Linked DNA regions of Caenorhabditis elegans. The protein of the gene in region 2 interacts with the protein of the main gene of each other region in a pairwise test. Each region holds a gene or a part of one and is shown on either strand. Other genes may lie near its edges.

Region 1 (6,958 bases), 7.2 Mb from region 2:
GTTTTTTATATGTTGGAGTACGGTCTGTGGAGAAATTAGTAAAATACACGTCTATTTTCCTATGATGTTTAAATAACTAAATATCATAATACAAACTTTTAGAAACGTTTTGGACATTTTTTTTTATTTCGAGTCAAAACTTTTGAAATTGAAATGTAGACTCCAATTTTTTACGCTTTATGGTGTACTGTAGTTCCTAGATCCACATTGTTTCAAAATTTTCTTGGATTTTATGTTGCCACAACATTTTTGCACCTTTCATTATTCTTAAGTTCAGATTTTCCAAAAAAGGTGCGAAGAAACGAAAAAAAAACTATAAAAAATGAAGAAAACCAATGCAGCAAAGAGCTAGAAACTACAGTAATCTTCAGACACTTATTTGTATTTTGAAAAACGTTCATTAATTTTTTTAAAAATAAATTTAGTAAAGTTCTAATTAATTTTTACTTTTTAAAGGAAGAAGGTTGTTTCGAATCAACTTTTTTCGTGATTTTTTTTTGTAAATTTCCTTTCTATTGCTACAAAATTTTTTCTTCGGTATTATTCGATGTGTTTGAAAATGAAGACCGTCGAGAGTGATAAATTTAAAATGTATAATTCTTTCTTTTTAAAATTACCAGAAGAGGTAGAGACAATGTACATTTAATACATGAGAAATTGAGCAAACTGTAATATAAAGGTAACCCGAACATATAAACGAGGGCTGTTTCTGTGGTGGCTGCTAGTGGGAAAAAAACCCGTGATTGAATCTAAATGATTAGAATCCTGGATAAAAAGTTATGGCAACATGAAAGGGACTGAGATATTTCAAAAAATCTAAACAAATCTACGCAGAAAAATCGTATGTTAAAAACAATAAACATGATTCTATAATGAGCAGTTCAAAATGGATTTTTGAGTTGTTGCATGACATAATCGGGAAGAGTGTCCGGCTCGGCGAGAATGCTCGAGTTGGTTGCAAGAGAGACCTGAAATTTATAAATTGATTATTAATGAGTATCTATATTATATTTACCAAAAGTGTACTCGCAAGCGGCCGAAGTTCTGTGGCTTTCCAATTTTTGTTCAGCCAATCAGAACACGAGGCGGCTACTTCATTTCTTGACGACGAGTCTCCTGCTACAGACGATGCGAAAGAGTTTGTTTGTGTGACACAGATTGGTTTCAGCATTTGGGACATCTATTATGAAGTTGTATTAATTTGTCTCAATAGTAATTCAAAATTTTTGCGGTTGCTTTGTCAAAAATACGGGCCTCGACGTGATAAATTCTTTTTTAGTGCCAAAAGGATGTGCACCTTGGTGGAGAAATATTTCGATTTTTCAGCAATAGATTTTAAAAAAATTTCAACTTTTCTGCTAGATAACTTACCACCCAAAATCTCCAATTCTTTTTCGCGCCTTCTTTGACATATCTATCGAAAAATGTTTCCAGTGAAGTTTTCGAGTCCACCTGTGATGAACTGGATGGTGCACTCGATTGGGGAAGATTTGATTGTAAGGATCTGAATTGATACAGTTTTAAAATATTTCAACAAAAAACTATCTTACGTTATTTTCTGATTCAGTTTTTCGATTTTCGCTTTGGCCTCGTCGATCTTCTGTGTTTTATCCCATTTTTCGGCCTGCAATCTTCGAATATGATCCGCTGACTTGGCTAGAACGACAGCATTCGTTGGCTTAACACCGCCAGAATACAAATCGGGTATCTGGAAAAAAAATAAAATTTTGAATTGGAGATTTCATGAGAAAAACCAAAACTTACAATATCCATAAGCTGGTCGAATCCATCTTTCAGTGCACTTCTTCGGTTTTGCTCAGCGTGTAAATGCAATATTCTTTTGCGTTCTTCTGGGTGCAATGTGGAATCTGGAGCTTGTCGTCGCATTGATTTGACACTTGATGGTGCACTCATCAACAGTGGTTCTTCTTTTGTTACTTCCTTCAATTCGGTGGGTGTGGTTGGTAAGTCTGAAATTTACTTAATTTAAACTCAGTTGGAGATAACATAACTTTGGTGAAGAAACATTAAAAAATATGCTTACAATGCCTTCCGGATTTCTCCTCGACCTTCACAGCCATTTTTCCATTGAGTAGATTGACATCACAAGACTGCTGCCTGTTCACTAATGGCGCCATCGCTGCTTCTTGCTCTTTTCGTTTTGACGACGCCGACGGTGGTGTGATGATCTTCGGTGGATGCTGTGAAGCTTGTACTGGAACTGACGCGGGACCACTAATATCTCCAGATGTTGAAGGACTTTCTAATATTGACGGCTTCGTGGTAACCGACGCAGCAAAAGCTTGATAAGTAGGCGATCCTTCTACTATATGACTCATTTTCCATGATTCATTGAGAGATGATGTGCGTAAGCGAGAAAGGCTAGAAATATCCAGAGGAGATGGTGTTGGTGTATTCTGTGATGTTAATGAAGTGAATATTCTTTCAGGTTTATTCTCGACATTTCCAAAAATTGTTGAAGTTCGACTAATTGGAGGTTGTTCTAATCTTTGTGATAAAGTTGGAACACCACTGGTAGTCCCACTCATTTTAAATCCACCCGGTGTATTATTTCCACCGAATAAAAAACCGTTGTCCGCACTCCCAATAAGCTGACCCAATGGAGTCTGCGGTCCCGTTTGATTGGCAAGAGGCAATGGTGTTGCTACTGATAATGGTGATTGAACACTTGCAGTCAACGGACTATCCAGCCACCATGATCTCGATGGAGCCATCATTGGATCATGAGATTGGGGTTGTGGAGTAGGTTGAGTGGATTGAAGAAATTGAGGAAGATATGGATCATTTTGAGTCGGCAGCAAATTAGATCTGGATGGAGGCGGAACAAGTGGTGGTTGATTATTCAGAATTCGTTCGACGTGGGATTGATGTGGTAGGGAAACCTGAAGTTATTGAATTTCGAGAAACTGTCTAAATGTTCATGCATTTTTCAAACTAACCAAGAAGTTACTTTGTTGTTGCTTATTCCAAGGTGAATGCTGACTCGTATGGCCCAAATGATGTTGGTTTGTCATTGTATTTCGAATTGGGAGAAATGAGTTATTCGTGCTATAGTGTGTTGATGTGGCATACTGTGGTTGTGAAGACAATGTCGATGCGGATTGACTGAGCATAAGCATTTGTGAAGTAATTGCAGATGATTGTCGTGTCGGCATTAATCGATAGTCCATCATAATCGACGAAGCCATAAACTCATGTGGACGAGCCGCAACAGGTTGTTGAATTTGAATTTGATGTTGCAGTTGTTGAGATGGTTGAGATATTTGAGATATGGATTGAGCCTGAGCCTGAGCAACTTGCATTTGATGCAAAGACGCCGAAGATGAAGCAGATCTTCTCATTTGAGGAATTTGTTGTGCTGATATTGATGGCTGATCATTCGTCGGAGTTCTCATTGTGTCCCGATCATTGTGGAATGGCGGAGAATCTGGCATATCGTCGCCTAATGACATCATGATATCCTCGATTGTTGGCTGTAGTGGGAGGAGTCCTGGCTGCATGATATCAGCGTTATTTCCACTATCTGAAACAAGTTTTTGACGATTAGACATATAAAGCATGAAGTATTTATAAAGATTAATAGATTTACTGAAAATATTTTAACACATATTTTGTTCCATCAAATGAAATAGTTTCTAAACTGCTACAAAATTCAAATAAAACTAACATAATATGTTTAGTTTCTTTCATAATCAAAAGTTAAAAATAAAATAAAAAACTCACAAACATCTCTTGGATCCGGAAACATGTAAGGTTCACTCAGAGAATTTAGAAAATCATCAGTGAAAACATTATCCAAGTCATCAAAATCCCATGCAAATTCATCAGAAATCGTGTGTTTTGGCGTCTGACTTCTTTGAAGTTTTACAGGTGGCTCATAGCTTCGCAACTTGCTTTCAATTGTTTCTTTTGGAACGGTGTGTTTCTTTAAAAAAATGTCTTCGATATTTATTAAAATTTTGTTTCTAATTTTTTGTTTCGATTTCGTCTGTTTTCGGATGTTTCTTGTCGCTTTTTCCTTTTTTCATTTAAATATTTCGAAGTTTAAATTAATTTTTCAAATATAAAAAAAAGAAATTACAGAAAATAGAAGATTATTGTGTGGAATTTCTTCAAAGTGGAACTAATTTTTTATAAAATGCAGTGATTTTTTTTTTGAAAAAATGAACACGAAAAAATTGTTTTTTTTTCGATTGTATAAAACCAAATATCTGCCGACGCTACTAGAAACAGACGATTATGCAGCAACAAGAGTTTGAAATTACAGTACTCTTTGAAGGCACACACCTTAATGTATTAAACAAGAATTTGTCGTGTCGAGACCATGTACCGTAGTTTTGACGCAAAACTCGAAAGGTTTCGCGTCTGGGTAATCTTCCACTTTCATTTGGTGTATAAAAAAGCTTCGAGAAAAATCATACCCTTTTCCGTTTCAATTCTCCCGTCATACTGCTGACGCTTGTCGAAGAGCACGTCGCCACCATTCCTCCCTTATCCGTGACCAAATTATGTTTCGAACGAATTCTCCATCGTTTATATTGTGCACACACACCTTCCATTTTTCTTTTCCAATACATTCCTTCGACAATCGATCCCTCGATTTTTTGATGTGTTGTGTCATCGTCGGGTACGGCAAAGTAGCAGAATGGTTTTTTCGGCTTTTCTGGCTGCTTTTTTCGAACTGTAAGACAAGATTTTGAACAATAGCTGATAAAATTAAAGAGGGAACTTACATTCAATATAATATGCTCTCCAAATAACATTATTCAATCGTACCCTCTGCTTCCAATGAAGACGTAATCCTTTGAAATCCTTCCATTTTGGAGTTGTCATTTTGCTACAAACTAACAATGCCATCAATTTTTATTGAAGATAAACTTACTTATAAGCAACTTTGATACATTTGTTCAACTTATTCAGTGATACATCAATCGCGATCGACTGTGTTTTACCAACTCCAAACTTGTAAAACGTCACCGGTTTCTCGTCGAGAGCCTTATTTTTATGATGAACTGATGATGATGCTTCCATTGATTTATCATCATCTTCAACTACATCCACTTCAACATCTTCTTCATCTTCATCTTGTACTAGATCGTCGTGGGGATTCGAACACATAAAGTGCCCACTGTGTATAATCTGCCCGCGCGACATTTTTGTCTGAAAATATTGAAATCTTTTGAAAAGTAGAAACAGTGAAATGAAGAATTATAGAGGATGAAAGTAAATTTACTAGGTAACAATGTACAATTGATTATTTGGAATTACAATTCATCCAATCACGAACAAAAATCCCATATTGCCAAATTTTCAGAATTATGTGCTTCAAGGTGTGAGCTCAACTAAAATCTACACATTTTCGTAAACTTTGCAAAAACTTATAGCTTGGCCCTGAGGAACTTTTTTAGGAAAAAAGGAAGTGGAGAAATGTGGGAAAATTGTGTGTGAGAGCGATGACAATAAGCAAGGAAGAAACGACGAAGGACGGACGGACGGGGAGAGCGATGGAGGATCAGTTGTTACAACACGTGACCGACTAAAAGAGTGTCTAGGTCTCTTGTTGTTGAATTATTTTTTTTGTGCATTGTTTTGGAAAACCGCTGCAAAAGGCGTTAAAGATAGGTTCACTATTTATGGAATTGCAAAATTTTATTTAAGATATTAGAAAGCTATTTCAGAAGTTTTTTTTACAGGTGCGAAAATTAAAACAGATAGGGTGCATTTCATTAAGTCGAGTTTATTTATTTATTTATTTTAAATATGGAAAAATATTTTTGAAACTTGTCCCCGCAAAAAGTTTTGACACTGGTCAGTTCAGTTAAACAAAATTATGCGTTTTGGCAAAACTACTTAGAGTACGATAATCCGATTTGAATTCAACTTTGTACGACCTAGATAGTATTGAACAGTTTGTGGGTGTGACAGGGACAAAAGTCAATCGATACAGGGTTTCAGAGAACCAACATCGGAGAGGATGGGGGACGAAAAAGATAGGAAAAATCATATATCGAATCGTCGACCAGCGACAGTCACAACGATATACAGTGTTGGTGTGAAATAGGGGGAGAAAACGAGACATATTTGTGAAAAGAAAACGACGAAACGGAGGGAGAATGGATGGAAGAATACGATTGATAACACAAACAGAATGGCCATTATCTGATAATAATGATAACAAGCAGCGGGGGTCGCTCCCGGGAGGACGTATATTTTCACAGATTTCATGACTATTTTGTTTTACATCAAAACAATTATAGTTTCAGTTTGCAATTTTTCTCAACAAAAATAGACAGTAGGTTGTATTAATAAGAACCATGATTCTCTCAACTACGTAAAACTATCTTGATTCGCACCTGCACAACCAGTACATTATATCGTACGCGCATTATATACCGTACCTGGCAGGCAATCAGACAATTTTGACAATTCGATAATATATCCGAAATAATTGGAATATTTTATAGAAACAACTCAAAAAAAGAACAAAAAACTAATTTCTAATGTAGCAAATGTTTTTTTGGTAAAAAAATATTACGTTCGGCACTTGCCGAATTTCCGGAACCTAGTCATATTAACAAACAGAAAATCATAATTCAGAAGTAAAAAGAAAATTAGAAAAGGGTTCTGAAACTTAGAAATAAATAAACGTTAACCTATGCCCCTAATATGTTAGAGTTGTGCGTGTGTGTGTGTGTGTGTGAGCGTATATTGGGTAAGTGTGTGTGTGTGTGGTCGAGTGCATCCAAAAAACGAGAGATGCATCGACTCAGGAGACTGGAGCAACAGAGACATCATCTTGAACATGAAAGACGCAGGCACAATGAAATACGCTCAGCTCTCTGTTTCAATTTGCCGCACAATACTTCCACGAATATTGACACATACACATGCCCTCGCGCGTTTTCAATCAGCCACTATTTTAACATCAACGAAACTC
Region 2 (3,552 bases):
TCTCCAGTTGAGATTCAATTGGAGTGACCTGAAAGAACAAGGCGTGGAAGGAGTAAAAGGATACGTTATGCTACAGGGCAGAAAAATTGACGTTATGGCGTAAGAATTGAATGAGCTCATATCTGTACATTACATCCCCGGCCACATCAATAACTACGTCAAGCTCAATTTGACTCTTATTAAATCTCAATTTTTGACAAAATCCGAAAATTCTGATGCAATTCTTCTAGTTGAAGATACGAAGCTTCATGTTAATAAAGCTGTAAGCTGAATAAAATAATTTGATTTTCTTCAATAAGTGATTTTTTTACAGTTCCTCTCGTATCATTCCGAGTTCTTCCGCGGGTTGTTTGAGTTTGAAAGTGAGGAGAAGCAGAAGAATGAATTCAAGATCAGTGATGTTTCGGCAGACGATATGAAGGCTTTCTTAGCCATTATTCACCCGGGAAATGACTTCCCGACGGACAGTAATGCCAAGAAACTTCTGGAATTGGCTGATCGTTTCATGGTTCCGTTCGTTACGAGTTCCGTAGAGAATCATCTTCTCAAATCCACGGAAATCGATCATGTAACAAAGATTTGGTTGGCTGACAAATTTCAATTGGAGAAACTCATGAACCACGCGATTTCAACCATTGAGACTACAGAGAAGGCCAGACAAGTTAGAACCTCTGACTTGTTCACAGAAATGTCCACTGAAGTTACTCAGAAGCTTCTGGATCGAGTTCTTCAATTAACTACCAAAAGTTAATTTTATGTTCCAAACTATTTTCTTTTTTGTTGTTAAATTTCATTTTTACGCGTTGAATAATACATTTGTTGATTAAAAATCTGGAAATTCTTCTCAATACTATGGCGAAGTGAAGGGCATTGTGACCATTTTTCCGGCTGTCGACTTGAATGGCTCCGCATTTGGCGCCAGGCTCTCCACCCACGACAGGAGCGTTCTGGTGATCGTTGCGTACGTGGTGAAGTCCACTTGGGAGGAGAACGAGGTGAAGCAGTCGTCGAGGAGAAGTTGGAGCTGAAAGTTGGAGAATTTCGACTTAAAAATCTGGAAATTTCAGTAAATTCTAACCATTTTGACTTGAATCGTGGACTGGCCGGCGTCAGGAACCGAAGAAGCCATCTGCTCGTACTCTGAGGCAATCATTTCCAGTGCGGCCGCTTGTGCGTTGAGCTGGGCCAGTTGCTTGTCGGCGTCGGAGATGTCGGTTTTCAGTTGGGACATGAAGTCGCAGGCTCTGGAAATTATTGAATTTTCGGGGAAATTTGCAGAATTTTGAAGGTTTTTAAGCAAAAAATGGGCTTAGCAGACTGGAATTGTGATTTTTCCCGCTGAAAAACACGAAATTCTTGAAAAAAATCGTGCTTTTTAATGTAAAAAACTTGAAATTGTCATCAAAATTCGATAATTTCGCAATTTGGGTATGCTAAATCCACGTTGGTCTGCTAATTATTTAGCAGACCCAACTATGGTCTGCTAATTATTTAGCAGACCCAAGTATGGTCTGCTAATTATTTAGCAGACCCAACTATGGTCTGCTAAATATTTAGCAGACCCAAATTTTTATGTTTTCCAGTTATTTTTCCTTCAATTTTTCAGTATTTTCAGCCAGTACCTGAATAAAATCGCGGCGTTTGTAGTTTTACATCCCAGCGAAGTCGTTGTCTGAGGAATTAAATCCTTTAAATCACTGTATCCGCTCTGAAAAGTTGAAATTTTAGCTTTTTTCCACGAATTTCCAAGCTTCAACAAACATTTATAGCTTCTCTTCGCTGCCGTTCACACCTCAAGTGCGTCGCCTTCTTTCTATCCGAGCTAAATCCGCCGGAATTCGTCGCTGGCGTGTTTGGGGCCGATGGGGAGCTCGCCGAGCCGTCCGGCGACATTAGGTCCATATCGTCCGGCTTTTGAGAGGAGCTGGCAGCTGCGGAACGGCTTCGAGACATTTTTGGGCTGAAAAACAGAGAATTTCAGTAGAGTAATTGGGAAAAAAACGAAGAAAAACGCGGATTTTTGAAATTTGGGTCTGCTGATTAATTAGCAGACCTAATTGTTCCCTGGCAAGATTTTTTTTGAAGATTTCAATCAATTCTAGATATTTTCTGAACGGGTTTCTCAATAAACAAATGGAAATTCCCTCTAAACCTTGAGAAAATTAGAAGTATTTCGGCAAAAACGTTCAATTTTCTTTTTTGAGAAAAATCATGATGCAAAAACTAAAATTCCTATAAAAACTTAATCAATCTGTGAATCGATACTTCCGATCACGGGTTTGATCGTTTGAACCCGTTTTTTCTCGGCGACAACGATGCTCCGACTTAACGCACGGTTTTCTCCGGTTTTTCCGGGTTTTTGTTCAATTTTACTGTGATTTAAGCAATTTTTCGCATAAAAATTGGTTTTTCAACATTTTTCTACATGATTTTTGATTTTTATTCACGAAAAACGATGAAAAATCGATGAAATTCGGGGAAAAACAAAAATTTCAGTTGCAAACGATGCTCCGAAATTCCGCGGCGCGCCCTGTTTATCATGAGTTGGTGTTTGAATAATTTTGATGATAATTTCAGACTTTCTCGAAGCTTTTTCGATAATTCCTTGAACTTCATGATTTTCGTCGATTTTTCAGAGTTTTTCCACTATTTTCCATCGTTTTCAGACCATGTCGAACATAGCATTCAACAGACTCCAACGAGAATGCAAAGAGGTCGTCACAAACTCGGAAATCAGCGAAACCGGAATTATGATCGAGATATTGAACGAGAATCTCACCGAAATCAAGGTAAAACGCCGCGAATTGTGTGTCGGAAATCTCAATTTTTATCGGTTTTCAGGGACACATCCGCGGTCCACCAGACACTCCATACGCCGGTGGAATGTTCGATTTGGATATTAAGATTCCAGACCAATATCCATTCTCGCCACCAAATGTACGAGTTTTTCTGCCTGGAAAGCTTGAAAATTGTCGAAATTTGTGTAAAAATCGCGGTTTTTCAGGTCAAGTTCAGCACAAAAATCTGGCACCCGAATGTCAGCTCGCAGACCGGCGTCATTTGCCTCGATATTCTTAAGGATCAATGGTAATATTGCGATTATTATTTTAAAATCGGAAAATTTAATTTATTTTCAACTTCAGGGCCGCTTCGCTGACTCTTCGCACGGTTCTCCTGTCGATTCAGGCGTTGATGTGCACACCGGAGCCCAAGGATCCTCAAGATGCCGTCGTCGCCAAGCAATACATGGAGAAGCCAGCAGTTTTCAAGGTAGCAGCGTGGAAAATTCAGAAAATTCGCGGAAAAATGGGGAAAATATTGCGAAATCCGATTAAAAAATCAATATGGGTCTGCTAAGTAATTAAGTAATTAGCAGACCCAAATCTTCCCTTATTTTGTGTGTTTTTTTGCGTATTTTGCCCCAAAAATTATCTATAATTTCCCATTTTTCAGGCCAACTCGAGTTTTGAAGCGTCAAAATTGAGAAAATTCGATGGGAAACGTGCAAAATTCGTTAATTCCCGAATTTTGGAGACAATTCTGACTGTTTTA

What was found.
Region 1: the proteins of mxl-2 (region 2) and mml-1 interact in binary tests that used the Caenorhabditis elegans proteins (3 or more experiments, as listed by UniProt).

The regions. Positions count from the first base shown.
Region 1 is NC_003281.10:7,369,551-7,376,508, forward strand, and holds mml-1 (Protein WBSCR14 homolog), read right to left. Parts: upstream 5,182-6,958; 5' UTR 5,176-5,181; coding exon 4,904-5,175; intron 4,859-4,903; coding exon 4,755-4,858; exon of another isoform or gene 4,703-4,754; coding exon 4,443-4,702; intron 3,947-4,442; coding exon 3,745-3,946; intron 3,545-3,744; coding exon 2,961-3,544; intron 2,904-2,960; coding exon 2,045-2,903; intron 1,971-2,044; coding exon 1,765-1,970; intron 1,709-1,764; coding exon 1,551-1,708; intron 1,505-1,550; coding exon 1,372-1,504; coding exon of another isoform or gene 1,336-1,371; exon of another isoform or gene 1,181-1,335; coding exon 1,016-1,180; exon of another isoform or gene 969-1,015; coding exon 882-968; 3' UTR 581-881; downstream 1-580. UniProt on the Caenorhabditis elegans protein: Transcription factor that binds to the E box motif 5'-CACGTG-3', probably in a heterodimeric complex with mxl-2.
Region 2 is NC_003281.10:186,172-189,723, forward strand, and holds mxl-2 (Max-like protein homolog 2), read right to left. Parts: upstream 1,961-3,552; 5' UTR 1,954-1,960; coding exon 1,762-1,953; intron 1,709-1,761; coding exon 1,623-1,708; intron 1,245-1,622; coding exon 1,079-1,244; intron 1,025-1,078; coding exon 851-1,024; 3' UTR 778-850; downstream 1-777. Other genes in the region: ubc-20 (UBC core domain-containing protein), read left to right, coding at 2,670-2,789, 2,842-2,937, 3,005-3,087, 3,144-3,270. UniProt on the Caenorhabditis elegans protein: Transcription factor. Binds to the E box motif 5'-CACGTG-3', probably in a heterodimeric complex with mml-1.